2 linked regions of the Anolis sagrei genome follow. Each later gene encodes a partner of the first gene's protein in a complex. Links are inferred from orthologs where the notes say so. Each region holds a gene or a part of one and is shown on either strand. Other genes may lie near its edges. The genes, in order: KCNQ1 and KCNE3.

The links.
Region 2: the proteins of KCNQ1 (region 1) and KCNE3 are in contact, whole or in part, in a cryo-EM structure (PDB 6V01), measured with the Homo sapiens proteins. The link is inferred for Anolis sagrei from reciprocal best matches to the Homo sapiens genes KCNQ1 and KCNE3. Residues at the interface, in NP_000209.2 of Homo sapiens: Arg116, Pro117, Thr118, Gly119, Trp120, Cys122, Phe123, His126, Phe127, Phe130, Leu134, Leu137, Ile138, Val141, Leu142, Ile145, Gln147, Tyr148, Arg181, Met238, Val241, Asp242, Gln244, Thr247, Lys362, Asn365, Ile368; in NP_005463.1 of Homo sapiens: Asp54, Asp55, Asn56, Ser57, Tyr58, Ile61, Met65, Phe68, Ala69, Val72, Gly73, Leu75, Ile76, Leu77, Tyr79, Thr80, Arg81, Ser82, Arg83, Val85, Lys87, Asp90.

What each region holds. Positions count from the first base shown.
Region 1 is NC_090021.1:245,560,208-245,570,550, forward strand, and holds the start of KCNQ1 (potassium voltage-gated channel subfamily KQT member 1), read left to right. Parts: upstream 1-6,090; 5' UTR 6,091-6,145; coding exon 6,146-6,576; intron 6,577-10,343. UniProt on the Homo sapiens protein: Pore-forming subunit of the voltage-gated potassium (Kv) channel involved in the regulation of cardiomyocyte excitability and important in normal development and functions of myocardium, inner ear, stomach and colon.
Region 2 is NC_090023.1:5,044,296-5,054,654, forward strand, and holds the start of KCNE3 (potassium voltage-gated channel subfamily E member 3), read right to left. Parts: upstream 4,488-10,359; 5' UTR 4,423-4,487; intron 1-4,422. UniProt on the Homo sapiens protein: Ancillary protein that functions as a regulatory subunit of the voltage-gated potassium (Kv) channel complex composed of pore-forming and potassium-conducting alpha subunits and of regulatory beta subunits.

The sequences.
Region 1 (10,343 bases):
CAAGTCTTCACCCTCCTCCTGAAGGCGAGGAGGGATGATGATGCCCTTATTTTCCCCGGGAGTGAGTTCCACAGGTGAGGGGCCACCACTGAGAAGGCCCTGCTCCTCGTCCCCACCAGCCTCACTTGTGACAGTGGTGGGGTCGAGAGCAGGGCCTCCCCAGATGATCTCAGACTCCGGGGTGGGACGTAGAGGGAGATACGTTCGGACAGATACACTGGACCGGAACCGTATTTCTCCCTTGTGCTCTCCATTTGCACCTCTTCAAATTCAACAGCACTATTGGTAACAGCTGACCACCAGTTAGAACGCTCCAGGGCCAGGGCTTTCCAGTTCTTGTTGTCTATGCCACAGTTTTAAAGGTTTTCTTTAAGCCCATCTTTAAATCTCTTTTCCTGTCCCTCATCATGGGGGGTAGGCACAGGATGTTCACAAATTTATCAGGGCATCCAATTTTTGAAAGACTGGTCTAGAGAGCATTGCAACTCACTATGTTGATTGCCATGTACAGAGGTTGATTTTCTCCCTGCATTTTTCTTGAAGTTGTTGTGCAGTGATTATCATATCCACTCTTCCTCTGGATGGACAAAAACCATTCTGGGATTCAGAGAGGATGTCTTCCAAGATAGGTAGATAATCTATATAAAGCATTTTCATCCTTCTTTTAGAGGTACTTGCAAAATTTGATTCGTATTGTTTGTAGGGCTACTTAAATTTGAAAGTTCTAATGTTACATTTAAACCAGAAACTGTCTGGTTTTGTGTAAAAGAGTTTCATTCTATACTCACTTTCCTGGAAGTAAGCTCTCGTAAATTGAATAGGATATAGTGAATTGACATCTATAGGATTGCATTGTTTAAACATGCCTGAATTATTTGCAGTTTGATGTACATGTGGAAGGATAGGTTTTATAGAACACCCTGGATAATAGGTCGCTGTGAGTTTTCCGGGCTGTATGGCCCTAGTCATTCTGGCCATGAAAGCCTTCAGCATCACCCTGGATACTTCTTTGCCTTTTATAAAACGGCTGCATTTGTCTTAGATTTTCAGAAGAAAGCATCCTCAGATAGAAAAGGTAGGTGTTATAATCAGTGGCACAGCCACTGCTTGCAAGTGTTTCAACCTCCCAAGTTGAATAATACTTACAAGATTAGTAACTAGCATGTAGGTTGTGCCAATCTACTTTTGACACAGATTACTTATGAGTAGTTCAGCAAGTGGATAAGTAGTGCTTACCTGCAACCACCAATGAGTAAGAACACTGGTTTCAGGTTAAAGACTATAGGAAGTTAATATCTGGTATGATATTTCTTAAGCCCAAGGCATGAGGGGAAATTTGGTATCTCACTGGTAAAAATGATAAGTTCCCTTCACAGTAGAAAGATGCTTCTTGGTTCCTCGCTGGTTTCTTTGCTTCTCTCTTTCTTTTACTCTTTTCCCCAGATCATGCCAGTTCTCTCTCAGGATGATTGCTCCAACTTGGTCCTATTAACATGAAGCTGTGATTATATATATCAAAAGTTACCTATATAACAAGAATTGTATATACTTATATATAAGCTGGCTTTATGTGTAACCTGAAGGCAGGTTTTGGAGCCAAAAGTGTGGATTTTGATATGACTTGTGGATAAGTAGAGGGTTATTCCAAGAAGAGGGGAAAGCACTAATGCTGCCTTGGGAGATCAAACTTCTTAAACCACCAAAACCACAATTTCTCTGCCCAGACCTTCAGAGAAGCCAGAAACAGTGCCATAGCAAAGAAAGCTGATGCTCCTTTTAGGTTCTCTCAAGATGGACTACGCTCTTGCCTTTTATTACTACTCAGAGAAGAGGATGGTTCCTTTTTTATCAGTTAAGATACAGTCACATTGACCCATGGATATCTGGACTAGTTTTTTAGAGTTGATTTTTGACTCATATTTTTAGACTTACACATGAGTATATAGGATATTAAATGTGATTTGACCAGGGATTGTTTAAACTGTGCAGAACAGACAAATTGAATATTATTTTTTCAGACAGGAAAAAAACAATGAGATTACAATTCCTTTTGTCTCAACCAGCATAGTTCTTGGTTGTGCTGGATGGGGATGATGGATACCTGTCCCCCTGGAGGGTGCAGGTTGGGAAAGGCTATGACTAAGGAGAAAACGAAATGATTACACCACCAAAGATAATTACTGTGACTACAATCTTGTATCAGCTACTTAATAAAGTTTACTTAACTAACCTTTCCTGGCATGACCACCATTCCAAACCATATTCACCCATGCAGAATGGGTCTTCTTCTTCCTATGCAGCTGATGTCAGGTAAAATAAGTTGGAGTGTGTGTTTGGGGGAGAGACACATTCAATTTGTCTGTTCTGCACAGTTTTTAAACAATCCCTGATCAATAGTGTCACAGTCATGACTAAAGAGTGATTGTAAATACGAAACAGTTATCTAGATTTACTCATCTGTAACAGTTCCTTCTCCACCATCAATTTCACTGGAGCAGCCATGTTGTCTAAATGCCTGTTTCCCAAAGCAGTTACCAAGTAAAATTTAAAACTGAATTGTTTCAGTTTTTTTGGTTATATCAATAATAATGCAAGTTTTATTTCTCCTCAATCATACATAGATACAGCTACTTTGACTGCAATCTTGTATCAGCTCCTCAATAAAGTTTACTTAACTAAGTAACCTTTCCTGGCATGACGACCATTCCAAACCATGGAACTACTGTATTTATGGATTGAAAGTATTAAAATGAATTTCCAGAAAGCAACCCTTGATTTTGCCATTTTATATAAGTGTATATAATGGGACCTTAATATTCACTGATTTTGTTATCCAGGTGTATGTTCAGCAGGTGGGGAGATGGAGGCTGGAACCAAACTCCAACAGGTACCAAGGCCCCCTCTACTTTAAATGGTAACTAAATAATGGAAATAATATACACTTTTCTAGTATATATTATCATACTTCAAATCATGTCATAATGTGCAATGTGTTGTGGCTGAGTATGATTGTCTTCCAGAGAGAGAGCCTTGACAGTGACTGTGAAGACCTATTCTGGATCCACGTGGTATTTCACAATGAGGACACAGATGTTCAGATAGAAGGTGATCATGAGAAGGATTTGCTTGACACTTCTCTTCTTTTTGTCCTGTATTGAGGGCCAGGGTTTCCCAATTCTCTGTGTTTATACCACATTTAGTTTAGCTTTAAGCTGATCTTTACATCTCTTTTGCTGTCCACCAACATTCTGTTTTCCATTCTTAAGTTGAGAATAACGTAATTGCTTTGGGAGATGGTGATCAGACATACCAAGGGCCTAAAAGGTAATGGTAAATGTTTCCCCTGACATTAAGTCTAGTCATGTCTGACTCTGGGGGGTGGTGCTCATCTCTATTTCTAAGCCAAAGAGCCAGCGTTGTCCATAGACACCTCCAAGGTCATGTGGCCAGCATGACAGCATGGAGCACTATTACCTTCTCACCGGAGAGGTACCTATTGATCTACTCACATTTGCATGTTTTTGAACTGCTAGGTTGGCAGAAGCTGGGCCTAACAGCAGGAGCTCACCCTGCTCCCCGGATTTGAACCACCAACCTTTTTGTCAGCAAGTTCAGTGGCTCAGCGGTTTAACATGCTGTGCCTCGGGGGAGGGGGGGCACCAAGGGCCTGGTGTACTTTAAAAGAGATCTTATATACACCAGAAAATGATGGCTAAATAATGGAAACAGAAATAATATATATATTTCTCTTACATATTGGACCACAAATCGTGTAGTACTATACACCCTATTTACTCAAATCTAATGCTCACCTTTTTTGTCTAAATGACCTTGTCAAAGTTAGGGTGTGCATGAGATTCGCATCATACTGTAATCTTAGTGCTATTCCTGCTTCTTGGCAGGGGGTTGGACTGGATGGCCCATGAGGTCTCTTCCAACTCTTTGATTCTATGATTCTATGCTGAGCCAAAGCCAAAGGGGAAGCTGCTTCACTATTTGAAATTTATATCTCAAATTTAATGGCCAGACTCAGACTCAATGTTTTGCCATCCTGGGATTTGTAGTTTGGCGAGGCACCTGCATTCTTTGGCAGAGAAGGCTCAAGACTTGAAAAACTTCACGCCCACCCCATGACTCCATGGCATTGAACCAAGATAATTAAAGTGCATTCATCCTGCAGCAGAGAATGTAGCATCCCAAGGTTTCCTTTCCATTGCTGGAAGTTTTGGTGTTCTAAAGGAGAATTCTAAGTAGGCACCAACTGTAAGGGGCAAATGACAAAGAGAGCACTTTTTGCTGCTGCACATGACCTTTGGCAGCAAATAATCCCCCCCCCCCCTTTTTTTATTTCAGGGTTTTGAAAATGGAAGTGTGCATTAGATCTGATGGTGCATTAGACTTGAGTAAATATGGTATAAGTTCACAACTTTTTTTTTGACAAGGGACCATTGACCAGGGACGACTCTGCAACATTAGTATCAACAGGGTTACGAATCAATCTTTGGTCAATTTTAGATTTGGTTTGGTTATTTGGGGTGCTGATTCAGAAAACTGCATTGGATAGGCTACATGAGCTCTAGTTTCTGATACAGAACATAGGCCATCCAGTAGTCACCATCTGCTCGCCCACAGAAAACCATAGTGAATAATCTAGAGCTGATGTGGTAGTAGTAATCTTTTGTGGGCAGTCAGCCTCTCCCCTCCCAAATTCCCATTGCCTTGACATTATAAGAGGGTTTCGCAAGACCAGTTGCTCTTGTTGCTGCAGGGTTTTGAGGCAACGGTGTAGTAATGGTGAAGCCAGAGACCATATTTTCGTTCTTGGTGGTCCACGGACCACAGGTTGGGAACTACTGGTATAAGATATATAGTATTTGGAATTGTTGCATTTATACAAAAGTTTTTCAAATATGATGTTTCAATGTCAGTTGTGTCAGCAGAAATGAATTCATGGTCACTATTGAGGACTTCCAATTCATTTATCCTATCAGGAGAGAACCAAGATTACAGAGGTAATGTATTTAAAAAACACAAAGGTTAAAAACTTGTCATGATACTAAATGTCCTTTGACCAATAGTGGGCCCCTTGGAGTGCCTCTGGTATTCCTATAAGAAGGTCCTCCGTTGTGCATGTGGCAGGGCTCAGGCTGCATTGAAATAGGTGGCCTGTGCTCCAGTAGCCTGCCAGGGTCCGGGGGCAGCAAGGGAGAGTCGCAATAACACCAAGAAGGCCACAGCAGCCTTCAGAGCACCTGCTGTCTGTGAACTTGCTGCCCGGTTGTGCCAAGCACCAGAGCCTTGTCAGGGAAAGAAGGAAGGAAGGAGGGAGGGAGGGAGGGAGAAGGAAAGGAGGAAGAAAGGAAAGAAAGGAAAGAAAGGAAAGAAAGGAAAGAAAGAAAGAAAGAAAGAAAGAGGGAGGGAGGGAGGAAGAAGGAAAGGAGAAAGAAAGGAAAGAAAGGAAAGAAAGAAAGAAAGAGGGAGGGAGGGAGGAAGAAGGAAAGGAGGAAGAAAGGAAAGAAAGAAAGAAAGAAAGAAAGAAAGAGGGAGAGAGAGAGAGAGAAAGAAAGAAGGAAGGAAGGAAGGAGTGAGGGAGAAGTAAAGGAGGAACAAAGGAAAGAAAGAAAGAAAGAAAGAAAGAGGGAGGGAGGGAGAAAGAAGGAAGGAAGGAAGGAAAGAGGGAGGGAGGGAGAAGGAAGGAAAGAAAGAAAGAAAGAAAGGAAAGAAGGAAGGAAGGAAGAGGGAAGGAGGGAGGAAGAAGAGAGGGGGGAGGAAAAAGGAAAGAGGGAGGGAGGGAGGAAGAGAGAAAGAAAGAAAGAAGGAAGGAGAAAGGAAGGAAGGAAGGAAGGAAAGGAGGGGAAGGGAAGGGAGAGGAGAAAGAAAAGAAAAGAAAAGAAAAGAAAAGAAAAGGAGGGCCGGTCTCCTTCCTCGGCAGTCCGCGCCGGGGCTCCTTGGGTGGCGACGGGCAGGAGGCATCGGGGCGGAGAGCGGGGCCCTTCCTTCCCCGGGGAGCCTCCCTCCCTCCCTCCCTCCCTCCCCTTGAGTGGGCCGGGCCAAGAAGGGCTCTCGGGCGGGCGGACGGGCAGGCAGGCGGCGAGAAAGGCCAGAGCGAAGGAGAGCAGCGCTGCCCCCGCCTGGCCTGGCCGCGATGCCTGCTTCCCCGCCGCCTTCGCCTTCTCCTTCCCCTTCCCCCGCGAAGGCGGAGCGGCGCCGCTGGACCCTGGAGCGCTTCTCGGTCCTCTCCAAGAAAGGCAGCCTCAAGCCCTCGGCGCTGGAGCTGGCCGAGAACGCCCCCGACGCCCGCTACGCGCCTTTCTCGCTCTCGGCGCCCGGCCCCCCGGCCCCGCGCAGCCCGCCAGGCGGAGGAGGAGGAGGAGGAGGATCAGGCGAAGAGGAGGCGGTGGCGGCGCGGGTGGTGATGAGCGCCGACTTCCCGCGCCCCTCGGTCAACCTGGACCCGCGCGTCTCCATCTACAGCGCCCGGCGCCCGCTCCTCAGCCGCAGCCACATCCAAGGACGGGTCTACAACTTCCTCGAGAGACCCACCGGGTGGAAGTGCTTCGTCTACCACTTCACCGTGTGAGTCAGCGGGGGGGGGGGGGGGGGGAAGGGGAAAGGGGGAGGGGAGCCCTTCGGAGTTAGAGTAGGACGAGAGGAGGGGAGGGGAAGGAAAGGCAGCGGGCACCATCTCTCGCAGGAGTGGGCTCCCTCCCACCCAGGGCGCTTTGCATCCTGCCCGGGATGCTGGGGGCTGCAGTCCGCTTCCCACGAGCCCGGCCCCGGCAAGCAGGCGGCTCTTCCTCCTCCTCCTCCTCCTCCCTTCCCCACACGAAGCAACCCGCCTCGGCTCTTCGGGTTGTCCTGCGCAACCTCGCACACCTTCTCTCCATCGCATGACAGCTCAAAGTTGCTGCTTTGGTGCACTTCTAAAACACGTCTAACTTGGTACTTTGTTGTGCCACGCGCATCCAACGCAAGGCCAAGGACCGAGCATCATTGGTATTTGGTCCACGAGGCTTCCAAGAAGAGGTCAACATAGTTCCATGTGTACAGTCTTGCAGTTGCAAGCAACCCTTTGAAGGCAACCGTAAGGCAGTTGTGGCCTTTGGTGAAAAGACCTTTGACACCCTTGATTTATTCTACTATCACCACTCCCTCCCCTTCAATAAAATTACTAGAGAGAGACACACACAAAGACAGAGAGGATAAATGCAGTTTGACAGGACTTGGACTGCCAGGAACCCAATGCTGTGGAATCATTTTACAAGGTCTGGAGCAGGCACGGGCAAACTTCGGCCCTCCTGGTGTTTTAGGCTTCAACTCCCACAATTCCTAACAGCTGGTAAGCTGGCTGGGATTTCTGGGAGGTGAAGTCCAAAACACCTGGAGGACCAAAGTTTTCCCATGCTTGTTCTGGAGTCTTCTCCACCAAAAAGCGCCAGAGCCTTCTCAACTTGCAACACCCAGGTTTCCATAGCACTGGGCCATGGCATTTAAAGTGGTTTTGAACTTCCTTCGTGGTACAGTCTATATGCACCCCAGGCGTCGCTAGAGTTTGCTTGGTTTAAACCCTAAGTCTCCCTGAGTCCCTATAAGATAGGGTATAGGTAAAGGTAAAAGTTTCCTCCTGACATTTAAGTCCAGTTGTGTCTTAATCTGGGGGGTGGTGCTCATCTCCATTTCTAAGCTGAAGAGCCAGCATTGTCCGTAGACACCTCCAAGGTTATGTGGCCAACATGACTGCATGGAATACCATTACTTTCCTACCAGAGTGATTGCTATTGATCTACTCACATTTGCATGTTTTTGAAATGTAGGTTGGCAGGAGCTGGGGCTAAAAATAGGAGCTCACTCCGCTCCCCAGATTCAAACTACCAACCTTTCAGTCAGCAAGTTCAGCAGCTCAGTGGTTTAACCTACTGCACTACTGGGGTATAGGTAATGCCACCAAATTAACAAGCAAACGGATAACTGCAATAGGCATGCTCATACTTGGGAGTCATTTCCGTTAGGTTCAGTGGAGGATGCAGCCAGCCCTCCGCATCCACAGATTCTGCATTCACAGATTAAACCATACATTTCTTTAAAATTCCCAAAAGCAAATGTTGATTTTGCCATTTTGTGCAGGGACACCCTCTTACTGTGCCATTGTACATAATGGGACTTGAGCATCCACAGATTTTGTTATCCATGGAACCAAACCCCAGTAGATACCAAGGGTTCACTAAACTTCTAGGAAAGAGTTTGTAGCATTTATTTGTTTGTTTAAGATATTTCTCCCTCTGCCTTTCTCTGCGGCTGGACCCAAAGCGGTTAAAAAGATAAAGGTTTCCCCTTGACATTAAGTCTAGTTGTGTCCAGCTCTGGGGGGTAATGCTCATCTCCATTTCTAAGTTGAAGAGGCAGCATTGTCCGTAGGCATCTCCTAGGTCATGTGGCCAGCATGACTGCAAGAAGTGCCATTACCTTCTCGCCAGAGTGGTGCCTATTGATCTACTCACGTTTGCATGTTTTCAAACTGCTAGGTCGGCAGAAGCTGGGCTTAACAGTGGAAGCTCACCATGCTCCCTGAATTCGAATCGCTGACCTTTTGATCAGCAAGGTAATCAGATCAGCAGTTTAACATGCTGCACCAAACCAAAGTGGTTTACAACATATGAAACACACAATATCAACAATAAAACATACAATAAACAAATTAAAACATACTTAAAATATACTGCAGGCGACGTATGTAACAATTCATTGTAAGATCCTCAGATGTGTTTGTCACACAGAAGTCTGTTTTCCCCTTTTTAGCTTGTGATGCCTGTCTTACAGAATATGCGTTTTTAGTAATCCCATCAGTATAAGACCTTGGGTGGAGGAACAGCTCTGTTGGGTAGCAGCTCTAGGTGTGTTTCCAGACAGGCCCCCTTGAACCATGTACCTGTTATGCCCAATGGAAAGTTCCGCTGTGGATTGCTCAGTGCTGAAGGTCTTGGAAAAGCTTTTTTTTTTTTTTTACTGCAACTCCCAGAAGACTTTTGGGGGGAAGTTGCAATCCAAAAAAGTAACATTCTTAAGGTCTGGATCTATTTGATGAGTTGCGCACATACTTCTTTGTGTGTGTTCCATTCATTCGTAATGTGATTAGGGAAGCAATACATTGTGTGCCAAGAACTTTTTATGCTGGCTGGAGCAGCAGAGTCCATAAATTGTTGCTCATAAGAGAGTACTTTAAAGCAGCCATTTATCTGCATCAGTTGGTTGATTGTTCAGAGCCAGGGGTTACCTGCACTACTGCACATAAGCCCATGTAGCAAACACTTGGTTGCTGTTTGGGGGTGCATCAACAGTGCATAATTAATGCAGATAGACACCAGTTTAACTGCCATGGCTCAATGCTATGGAATCCTGGGGGCTGTAGATTTACAAGCCTTTTCTGCCCAAAAGTGACAGCTCCTCACCAAGCTACAAATCTCAGAATTCCGAAGCATTGAGCCATGGTGGTTAAAGCAGTGTCAAACTGCATTAATTATACAGTGTACAGCCAGCCTTGTTCTAGGTCCCAAACAGGGAGGGAGGTTTTGAGAGGAAGAGAGGCAGGAGGGGAAACCCCTTCTTCCACCACTTTCCCGCCATTAGCCTATCACGTTATTTGGAGAGGCAAAACATGTTTGAAACCTTGCAGAGTAGGAGGGGATTTGGAGTGAAAAAAATTGTGCTTGGTTCATTTCTCACTCATCACTTCTTAATTCTCAATCTCCCATTCTGCAAATTTCCAAATATGTGTTTGCCTTTCACCATATACAATACACAGGGAGGGAAGGGATGAAATGCAATCAGGAGCAACAAAGTGACCAAGAAGAAACACGAAGCTTTTGTTAGTTTGTGTTTGCATGCAGTTGGAAGTTAGGTCCTAGGCCTGAACCATCAGGCGCTGAGAGATCAATTCTTTTAAAAGAATTGGTACACTATGATGTTTAATATAATCATATGGATTGATATCTTGCTCTTTTGATAGCAATTCATTTCAGGCAAGTCAAAAGAAAACTGAATGCTGTTCTACTCAATCAGAATAAGACTATATTTTATGGTTATGGTAGCTTAAGATCACAGACCCAATCACATTTACATCAGTGTAACTTCTACTTAAACTGATGAGATATTAACTTCTGTGGTGCATGCTTAGGATTATTTCCAAAAAGCAGCATTACTTGGAAGTAATTTTCATTGACACTGATAAGCTCACAATTCTCTTTCATGTCAAAATAGCTGAGAAGTAGCTAAGTGGATAATAGACCAACTGAAGCTGTGTTAAATCCAAAACCCTCTCAGGACACATTTCCACGGCCCCCATGTGC
Region 2 (10,359 bases), on another chromosome or scaffold:
TGTGCCAAGTTTGGTTCTATTGATGAAGTTCACAGAATCATAGAATCCTAGAGTTGGAAGAGACCTCCTGGGCCATCCAGTCCAACCCCATTCTGCCAAGAAGCAGGAACATTGCATTCAAATCACCCCTGACAGATGGCCATCCAGCCTCTGTTTAAAAGCTTCCAAAGAAGGAGCCTCCACCACACTCTGGGGCAGAGAGTTCCACTGCTGAACGGCTCTCACAGTCAGAATGCTCTTTGATTGCAGGTGAACTATCAATCCCAGCAACTACAACTCCCAAATGACAAAATCAATCCCCCCAACCCCACCAGTATTCAAATTTGGACGTATTGGGTATTGTGCCAAATTTGGTCCAGTGAATGAAAATATATTTTGCATATCAGATATTTACATGACGATTCATAACAGGAGCAAAATTGCAATTATGAAGTAGGAATGAAAATAATGTGATGGTTGGGGGTCACCACAACTTAAGGAACTGTATTAAGGGTTGTGGCATTAGGAAGGTTGTGAACCACTGTCATTGAGTCTCATCCAATTCAACATAGTTTGCGGCACTGACAACGAAGTTCATGAAAGAGAACAACTCCTTTCAAAGTAAGTACGGCACAATTACACGGGAAATAACACTTTCAAAACAGGAACAATAATTATTTCAGAAGCAATTGGGAAAGAATGCCTGATGGAGAGGGTCCACACCCATTGCCCATGTGCTTGTGTTGAGTGTGCATTGCTCCACAAATGCAGGGAACAAAACCAACCTCTGTCCATGGCATTCATTGGCCTTGCAAAGGCATTCGACACAGCGAATCGCAGCGCTCTGTGGACCATCCTCCAAAAAATCGGGTGCCCAAGCAAATTTGTGAACATCCTCCATGATGACATGATGGCAACAGTCTTGGACAGCAATGGCTCTCAAAGTGACCCATTTAAGGTGGAATCGGGTGTCAAACAGGGATATGTTCTTGCCCCAACTCTATTCTCCACCTTCATCGCTATGATACTTCACCTTGCTGACGGGAAGCTTCCCACTGGAGTGAAAATCATGGCAAGCTATTCAACCTCAGCAGACTGAAAGCCAAAACCAAGGTTATAACAACATCTGTTATAGAATTCCAGTATGCTGATGACAATGTTGTCTGTGTGCATTCAGAAGAATATCTACAAGCCACTCTAAACACCTTCGCAGAAGCATACGAGAAGCTCGGCCTGTCACTGAACATCGAGAAAACCAAAGTGCTGTTCCAGCAGACACCAGGCAATCCCTCTCCAATGCCAAAAATACATCTTAATGGTGTAACATTAGAAAATGTTGACCATTTCCGCTACCTTGGCAGCCACCTCTCCACAAATGTCAACATCGACACCGAAATACAACACCGCCTGAGCTCTGTGAGTGCATCATTTTCCCGAATGAAGCAGAGAGTGTTTGAGGACTGGGACATCCGCAGGGAGACCAAGGTGCTTGTTTATAAAGCTATTGTCCTCCCAACCCTGCTCTATGCCTGTGAAACGTGGACTGTCTACAGACGTCAACATTGAAACTGAAATACACCACCACCTGAGCTCTGAGAGTGAAGCATTTTTCCAAATGAAGCAGAGAGTGTTTGAGGACCGGGACATCTGTAGGGATACCAAGGTTTATAAAGCTATTGTCCTCCCAACCCTGCTATATGCCTGCAAAACGTGGACTGTCTACAGACATCAAAACTGAGGCTGAAATACAACACCACCTGAGCTCTGCAAGCGCAGCATTTTTCTGAATGAAGCAGAGAGTGTTTGAGGACCGGGACATCTGTAGGGAAACCAAGGTGTATATAAAACTATTGTTCTCCCAACTCTACTGTATGCCTGTGAAACGTGGACTGTCTACAGATGCAACTCCTGGAACGATTCCGTCAGCACTGCCTCTGGAAAATCCTGCAAATCTCTTGGGAAGGCAGGCGGACAAACGTCAGCGTGCTGGAAGAATCAAAGACCACCAGCATTGAAGCGATGGTCTTCCGCCATCAACTCCGCTGGACCAGCCACGTTGTCCGGATGCCCGACCACCGTCTCCCAAAGCAGTTGCTCTACTCCGAACTCAAGAACGGAAAACGGAATGTTGGAGGATTGGAAAAGAGATTGAAAGGTGGGCTCAGAGCAAACCTTAAAATCTCTGGCATAGACACTGAGAACTGGGAAGCCCTGACCTGTGAGCACTCCAGTTGGAGGTCAGCTGTGACCAGCAGTGCTGCAGAATTTGAAGAGGCATGAATGGAGGGTGAATTAGAGAAGCGTGCCAAGAAGAAGGCACATCAAGTCGACCCCAACCGAGACCACCTTCCATCTGGAAACTGATGCCCTCACTGCGGGAGAAGATGCGGGTCAAGAATAGGACTCCACAGCCACCTACGGACTCACAAGAATTCTGATCTTGGAAGACTATCCTACTCAGCCAACGAGGGATTGCCTAACAACAACAAGCTGCATGAATGCACACGCAGCACAACAAGAAACAAAGACACACACAAAGCCCATCTGAGACTTGACTCACAGGACTTAGAATCAACAAACCGAGAGTTTGAAAACAATCCGTGCACAGATCCAGAGCGCAATTAAATCCAAAACAAACACTCCTAACCAATCCCATTAAAAGGCAGCGACTTATCATATTTTAAAATAATCTTTTAATGGGTTTACACATTCTTATCGCTTCCTCTTATTTGTGTTGGTTAGTTAACGGCCGTGCTGCGTGGATGAATGGGGCCCCTTGCACGTGGATCCGTGTGCACCTTTGCTTGTGAAAACTGTGTTGCACACTTGGCTCACGCTCGTGCCACAAAGCTGCTCGACACAAGGGTTGTGTGGCACGGTACTTGTGCAAAGATTTACAACCTGGACATTTTCACACTTCAGAGTTGTTGTGACTTTTCCGGGCTGTATGGCCATGTTCCAGAAGCATTATCTCCTGACGTTACACCCACATCTATGGCAGTCATCTTCAGAGGTTGTAAAGTCTGTTGGAAACTAGGCAAGTAGGGTTGGCTACTCTTGATCTCATCCTAACAAATGCGGAGGACCTGATCGATGCGGTTGAAGTGGTAGGATCCTTAGGGGCAAGTGACCATGTGCTCCTGCAATTTGAGGTACAAAGGAAGGCCGAAACTAAGACAAGTCAAACCCGCATTTTGGACTTTAGGAGAGCTGATTTCCAAAAAATGAAGGAAACGCTGAGCAGCACAGATACTAAAAGACAAGGGAGCTACGGATGGATGGGAATTTCTCAAGAGTGAAATACTAAAGGTGCATTTGCAAACTGTGCCAACAAAGAGAAAAAATAGGACAAGTGCAAAGAAGCCAGAATGGATGTCCAAAGAACTTCTAACTGTGCTAAAACACAAAAGAGACATGCACAAGAAGTGGAGAAAGGGAGAAATCACCAAAGAAGAATTCAAACAAAACACCTGTAGGGAAAAGGTCCGCAAGGCTAAAGCACAAAACGAGCTCAGGCTTGCGAGGGACATTAAAAACAATAAAAAGGGCTTCTTTTCGTATGTCAGTAGAAAAAGGAAAAACAAGGAGCCGATAGGACCTCTTCGAGGAGAAGATGGGGCAACGCTGACAGGGGATAGGGAAAAGGCAGAACTACTCAATGCCTTCTTTGCCTCGGTCTTCTCACAAAAAGAAAATCATCTTCAACCTCAGCAAGATGGAGTGGATGAGGGATTGGAGGACATCCAACCCCAAATTGGGAAAGAAGTCGTCCAGGAATACCTGGCCGCTCTCAATGAGTTCAAGTCCCCTTTCAGGGCCAGATCAACTACACCCCAGAGTACTGAGGGAACTAGCGGAAGTCATTTCGGAACCATTGGCAATTATCTTTGAGAGTTCTTGGATTTAAAAGGGACCCCCAGAGGCCATGCAGTCCAACCCAGTTCTGCCAGGCAGGAAGACACAATCGAATCCCTCCCGACAGATGTCCATCCAGCCTTTGCTTTAGAAACCTCAAGAAAAGGAGACTCTGACGCTCAATAATAGTGTCTTTTGCCATAAAGGAGCTCTCCAAGGTCTTATTAGGGAGCAAAGCTTCGAAACCTGGAAGAACAGCTTTAAAATTCGGACTAAAACCCAGACAGAATGCATTGAAATGAAATCACCAGCCTATATTGCAAATATGCTTTGCTGGGTGTCCTCTACACTATAGAAGTGGTGCAGTTTGATCCCGCTTTAACTGTTAAGGAATCCTGTAGGTTTCCATAACACAAGAGGCGTTGTGCTGATTCAGCAACCCGTGCCCGACTTTGGACGCATTTGGAGGCGCGGGCAAAGGATGGCTTTCCCAAGGAGCGCGTTCACACGTGCGCCCACACACGGGTCCTGAGACGCGTGTCAGGGGGCCCTCTTGGGCAGAGTCTCCCTCCCTCTCTGCTTACTCACCTCTCTCTTCCCCGGCGGAGCTTCTCCTTCGCAGCTGGCAGCGTCCTGCCCAAAGCCAACCCGCCTCTGGACCTCCTTCTCCTCCTTCCCTCCTTCTTTTCCTCCTTCCTTCTTTCCTTCCTTCCTTCCCTCCCTCTTTTCACGCCTTTTTCCTGCCGGACCCAGACCCAGAAGGGAAGGGAAGAGTACCTATGAGTCACCCCCAACCCTTAAGGAACTCCTTTCCCTGGCAAAGGAGCTTCTTTCGGGGGCTCTACTTTGCAGGAAAAACTTTGGAAAACTTTTTTTGGGGAGGGAATGAGCAGGACCCCTACCTCTTCAAGCCCCATAAATTCCCTCAGGAAGAGTAACTTCCTCATATTCTGCACTCTTCTCTGCTTTATTTGGGAAACTTTTTTGGGGGGTGGGGGGTGGGGGGGTGGGAATGAGCAGGACTCCTACCTTTTCAAGCCCCATAAATTCCCTCAGGAATAGTAACTTCCTCATATTCTGCACTCTTCTCTGCTTTATTCCTGGAACAACTTGCTCATTTGGAGACAGATAGAAATACAGATATGCATTTTGTGATTTTATATTGTTGTGAGCCCTTCCCAGTCCCTGCAGGGAGAGGGAGAGGAATATAAATAAAGCTATTCCTATTATTATTATTATTATTATTATCATTAATAATAATAATAATAGAGATAGATAGATATGAGATGCACACACACACAGGAGATAGATATGAGAGAAAAATATATATGAGATAGACAGATAGATATGACAGAAATATATATATATATTTATGAGATAGATAGATATGATATACATATATATATATATATATATATGAGATAGATAGATAGGAGAGAAATATATATATCTATATGAGATAGAGAGATAGATATGAGATATATATATATATATATATGAGATAGATAGATAGATAGATAGATAGATAGGAGAGAAATATATATGAGATAGACAGATAGATATGACAGAAATATATATATATTTATGAGATAGATATGATATATACATACATATATATATATATATATATGAGATAGATGGATAGATATGAGATATATATATATATATATATATATATGAGATAGATAGATAGATAGAAGAGAAATATATATGAGATAGACAGATAGATATGACAGAAATATATATATTTATGAGATAGATATGATATATACATACATATATATATATATATATATATGAGATAGATGGATAGATATGATATATATATATATATGAGATAGATATGACACACACACACACACATATATATATATATGAGATAGATAGATAGATAGATAGAAGAGAAATATATATGAGATAGACAGATAGATATGACAGAAATATATATATTTATGAGATAGATATGATATATACATACATACATATATATATATATATATATATATGAGATAGATGGATAGATATGATATATATATATATATGAGATAGATATGACACACACACACACACATATATATATATATGAGATAGATAGATAGATAGAAGAGAAATATATATGAGATAGACAGATAGATATGACAGAAATATATATATTTATGAGATAGATATGATATATACATATACATATATATATATATATATATATATGAGATAGATGGATAGATATGATATATATATATATATGAGATAGATATGACACACACACACACACACACATATATATGAGATAGATAGATAGATAGATAGAAGAGAAATATATATGAGATAGACAGATAGATAGGGCCTGAAAACCTGGCTCTTCGAAAAGGCCTTCAATTAAGTGCTATGTTTTGGAATGACCACCGGAATGGACTAGGACTACGAGACTGATTATGACCCAAACAAGACAAAGCGGATTTTTAGTTTAATTAGCTGTGTGTTAGTAAGATGTGTGTTATGGCCCTGAATTTACTGTAACTGTTGTCTTTATGTTCTATGTTCTGTACACCGCCACGAGTCGCCTTCGGGCTGAGAGTGGCGGTTAACAAGTGCAAATAATAAATAAATAAATAATAATAGATATGACAGAAATATATATATTTATGAGATAGATATGATATATACATATATATATATATATATATATATATGAGATAGATGGATAGATATGATATATATATATATATGAGATAGATATGACACACACACACACACACATATATATATGAGATAGATAGATAGAAGAGAAATATATATGAGATAGACAGATAGATATGACAGAAATATATATATTTATGAGATATATATATATATATATATATGAGAGATAGATCAATAGATATTATCTCTCTCTCTCTCTCTCTCTCTCTCTCTCTATATATATATATATATATATATATATTAGATAGAGAGATAGATAGATAGATAGATAGATAGATAGATAGGAGATATATATATATATATATATGTATTAGATAGATGCCAGTAAAGGTAATGCTCAAGATCCTGCAAGGAAGACTCCAGCAATACATGGAGCGAGAGCTGCCAGATGTTCAAGCTGGGTTTAGAAAAGGCAGAGGAACCAGAGACCAGATTGCCAATATCCGCTGGATAATGGAGAAAGGCAGGGAGTTTCAGAAAAACATCTACTTCTGCTTCATTGACTATTCTAAAGCCTTTGACTGTGTGGATCATATTAAATTGTGGCAAGTTCTTAGTGAGATGGGCATCCCAAGCCCCCTTCCCTCTCTCCTGAGGAATCTGTACAAGGACCAAGGAGCAACAGTCAGAACTGACCACGGAACAGGAGACTGGTTCAAGATTGGGAAAGGCATCCGGCAAGGCTGCATCCTCTCACCCAACCTTTTTAACTTGTATGCAGAACACATCATGCGATGTGCGGGGCTGGATGAATGCAAAGCTGGGGTGGAAATGGCTGGAAGAAACATTCACAACCTCAGATATGCAGATGACACCACTCTGATGGCCGAAAGCGAGGAGGAGCTGAGGAGCCTTCTAATCAAGGTGAAAGAAGAAAGCGCAAAAGCCGGGTTGCAGCTAAACGTCAAAAAACCCAAGATTATGGCAACAAGAATGATTGACAACTGGGAAATAGAGGGAGAAAATGTGGAGGCTGTGACAGACTTTGTATTTCTAGGTGCAAAGATGAGTGCAGATGCAGACTGTGGCCAGGAAATCAGAAGACGGTTCCTTCTTGGGAGGAGAGCAATGTCCAGTCTTGATGAAATAGTGAAGAGTAGAGACATCAGACTGGCAACCAAGATCCATTGCCTAGTCAAAGCCATGGCATTCCCTGTAGTCACCTACGGATGTGAGAGCTGGACCTTAGGGAAGGCTGAGCGAAGGAAGATCGATGCTTTTGAGCTGTGGTGTTGGAGGAAAGTGCTGAGAGTGCCTTGGACTGCGAGAAGATCCAACCAGTCCATCCTCCAGGAAATAAAGCCCAAATGCTCACTGGAGGGAAGGAGACGAGAGACAAAGTGGAAGTCCTTTGGCCACATCATGAGGAGACAGCAAAGCCTGGAGAAGGGAATGATGCTGGGGAAAGCGGAAGGCAAAAGGAAGAGGGGCCGACCAAGGGCAAGATGGATGGATGGCATCCTTGAAGTGACTGGACTGACCTTGAGGGAGCTGGGGGTGGTAACGGCCGACAGGGAGCTCTGGCGTAGGCTGGTCCATGAGGTCACGAAGAGTCGGAGACGACTGAACGAATGAACAACAACAACATTAGATAGATAGGAGAGAACTATATTTATGACATAGATAGATTATATATATATATATATATATATATATATATATATATATATATATATATGAGATAGATAGATGGATAGATGAAAGCTAGCTAGCTAGAGGAGAAATATATATATGTATGAAATAGATAGATATGAGAGAAATATATATATCTTGCCCTGGTGACTGGATGGCCTTAAGAATTTTCTGTTGGTCATGGGGGTTCTGTGTGGGAAGTTTGGCCAATTCTGTTGTTCGTGGAGTTCAGAACGCTCTTTGATTGTAGGTGAACTATCAATCCCAGTAACTACAACTCCCAAATGTCAAGGTCTATTTTCTCCAAACTCCATCTGTGTTCATATTTGGGCATATGGAATATTCATGCCAAGTTTGGTCCTGATCCATCATTGTCTGAGTCCACAGTGCCCTCTGGATGTAGGTGAACTACAACTCCCAAACTCAAGTTCAATGCTCACCAAACCCTTCACGTGTTTTCTGTTGGTAGTGGGAGTCCTGTGTGCCATGTTTGGTTCCATTCCATTGTTGGTGGAGTTCAGAATATTCTTTGATTGCAGGTGAACTATAAATCCCAGATACTACAACTCACAAATGACAAAATCAGGGTTTTTTTTGAGTGATGGTTACTCCTTGGGTTAGTAGGTGTCTTGTGTCCAAATTTGGTGGCAATTCGTCCAGTGGTTTTTGAGTTATATTAATAACTCAAAAATAATATGTATAATAATAATATAATTCCATAATTTATGATTCTGAGGAAAAGGAGGGAAAAGGGGACTTTGGTGTACCAGCCACTCCTGTTCTGGAGGTCGAAATCTTCCACCGCTCCCTCAACTTATACAAAATGTTCCAGTCCAGGACATGTATATTCATTTAACACATGCCCTGCTATTTGCCATGTTCCCTGTGCAGAACCCATAAATCCAGGCGATTCCAAGAGATTCCCTGTCATTTAGGAGGAACCAGAAAGCAAAAAAGGCAGGCTCTTCCAATGTAAATCATTATCCAGTGTAAATCAAAGCTAATTTATTTGTTTATCATGTCAGGAGTGAACCAAACAGTTGTATTGTATTTTTTTAAAACACACACACACAAAGTTTGCAAACTTGGCATTCTCTTAAATGTCTTTTGACCAGTAGTCATCCACTTGGAGTGCCTCTGGTGTTGCTGCAAGAAGGTCCTCCATGGTGCATCATGTGGCAGGGCTCAGGGTGCATTGCAGCAAGTGGTCAGTGGTTTGCTCTTCTCCACACTCGCATGTCGTGGATTCCACTTTGTGACCCCATTTCTTAAATCTCGTGGTGCCAGAGCACAGTCTGTTCAGTTCCTTCCAAGTCCTCCTTTTCCCTTTCTTTCTTTCTTTCTTTCTTTCTTTCTTTCTTTCTTATTTAATTTAAATTTATTATTTAAAACTTTTATATCCCAATCTTCTCTACCTCCGTAGAGGGACTCAAACTGGCTTTCTTTCTTTCTTTCCTTCCAGACGTCCTTCCTTTTCTCCCCTTCTTTTCCCTTTCTTTCCTTCCTTTCTTTTCTGACCTCCTTTTCTCTTTCCGTCCATCCTTCCTATTCTGCCTTTCTTTCTATCTTTCCTTCCTTCCCGTCATCCTTCCTTTTCTCCTCTTCTTTTCCCTTTCTTTCTTTCCTTCCTCTTTTCTGACCTCCTGTTCCCTTTCTTTCCTTCTATTCTTCCTTTTCTGCTCTTTTCCCTTTCTTTTTTTCTTCATTTTCTGCCCTTCTTTTCCCTTTCATTTACTTTTCTGCCCTTCTTTTTCCTTTTCTCCTTCTTTTCCTTTTCTTTCTTTCCTTCTAGACGTGCCTCCTTCTCTCCCCTGCTTTTCCCTTTCTTTCTTTCCTTCCTTTCTTTTCTGACCTCCTTTTCCCTCTTTCTTTCCTTCCTTTCTTTTCTGACCTCCTTTTCCCTCTTTCTTTCCTTCCTTCCTTCCTTCCATCCTTCCTTCCTTTCCTTCCTTCCTGCCATCCTTCCTTTTCTCCCCTTATTTTCCCTTTCTTTCTTTCCTTTCTTTTCTGTTATCCTTTTCCCTTTCCTTCCTTTCATCCTACCTTTGCTACCCTTCTTTTCCCTTTCTTTCTTTCCTTCCTTCCCGCCGTACTTCCTTTTCTCCCCTTCTTTTCCCTTTCTTTCTTTCCTTTCTTTTCTGTTATCCTTTTCCCTTTCCTTCCTTTCATCCTACCTTTGCTGCCCTTCTTTTC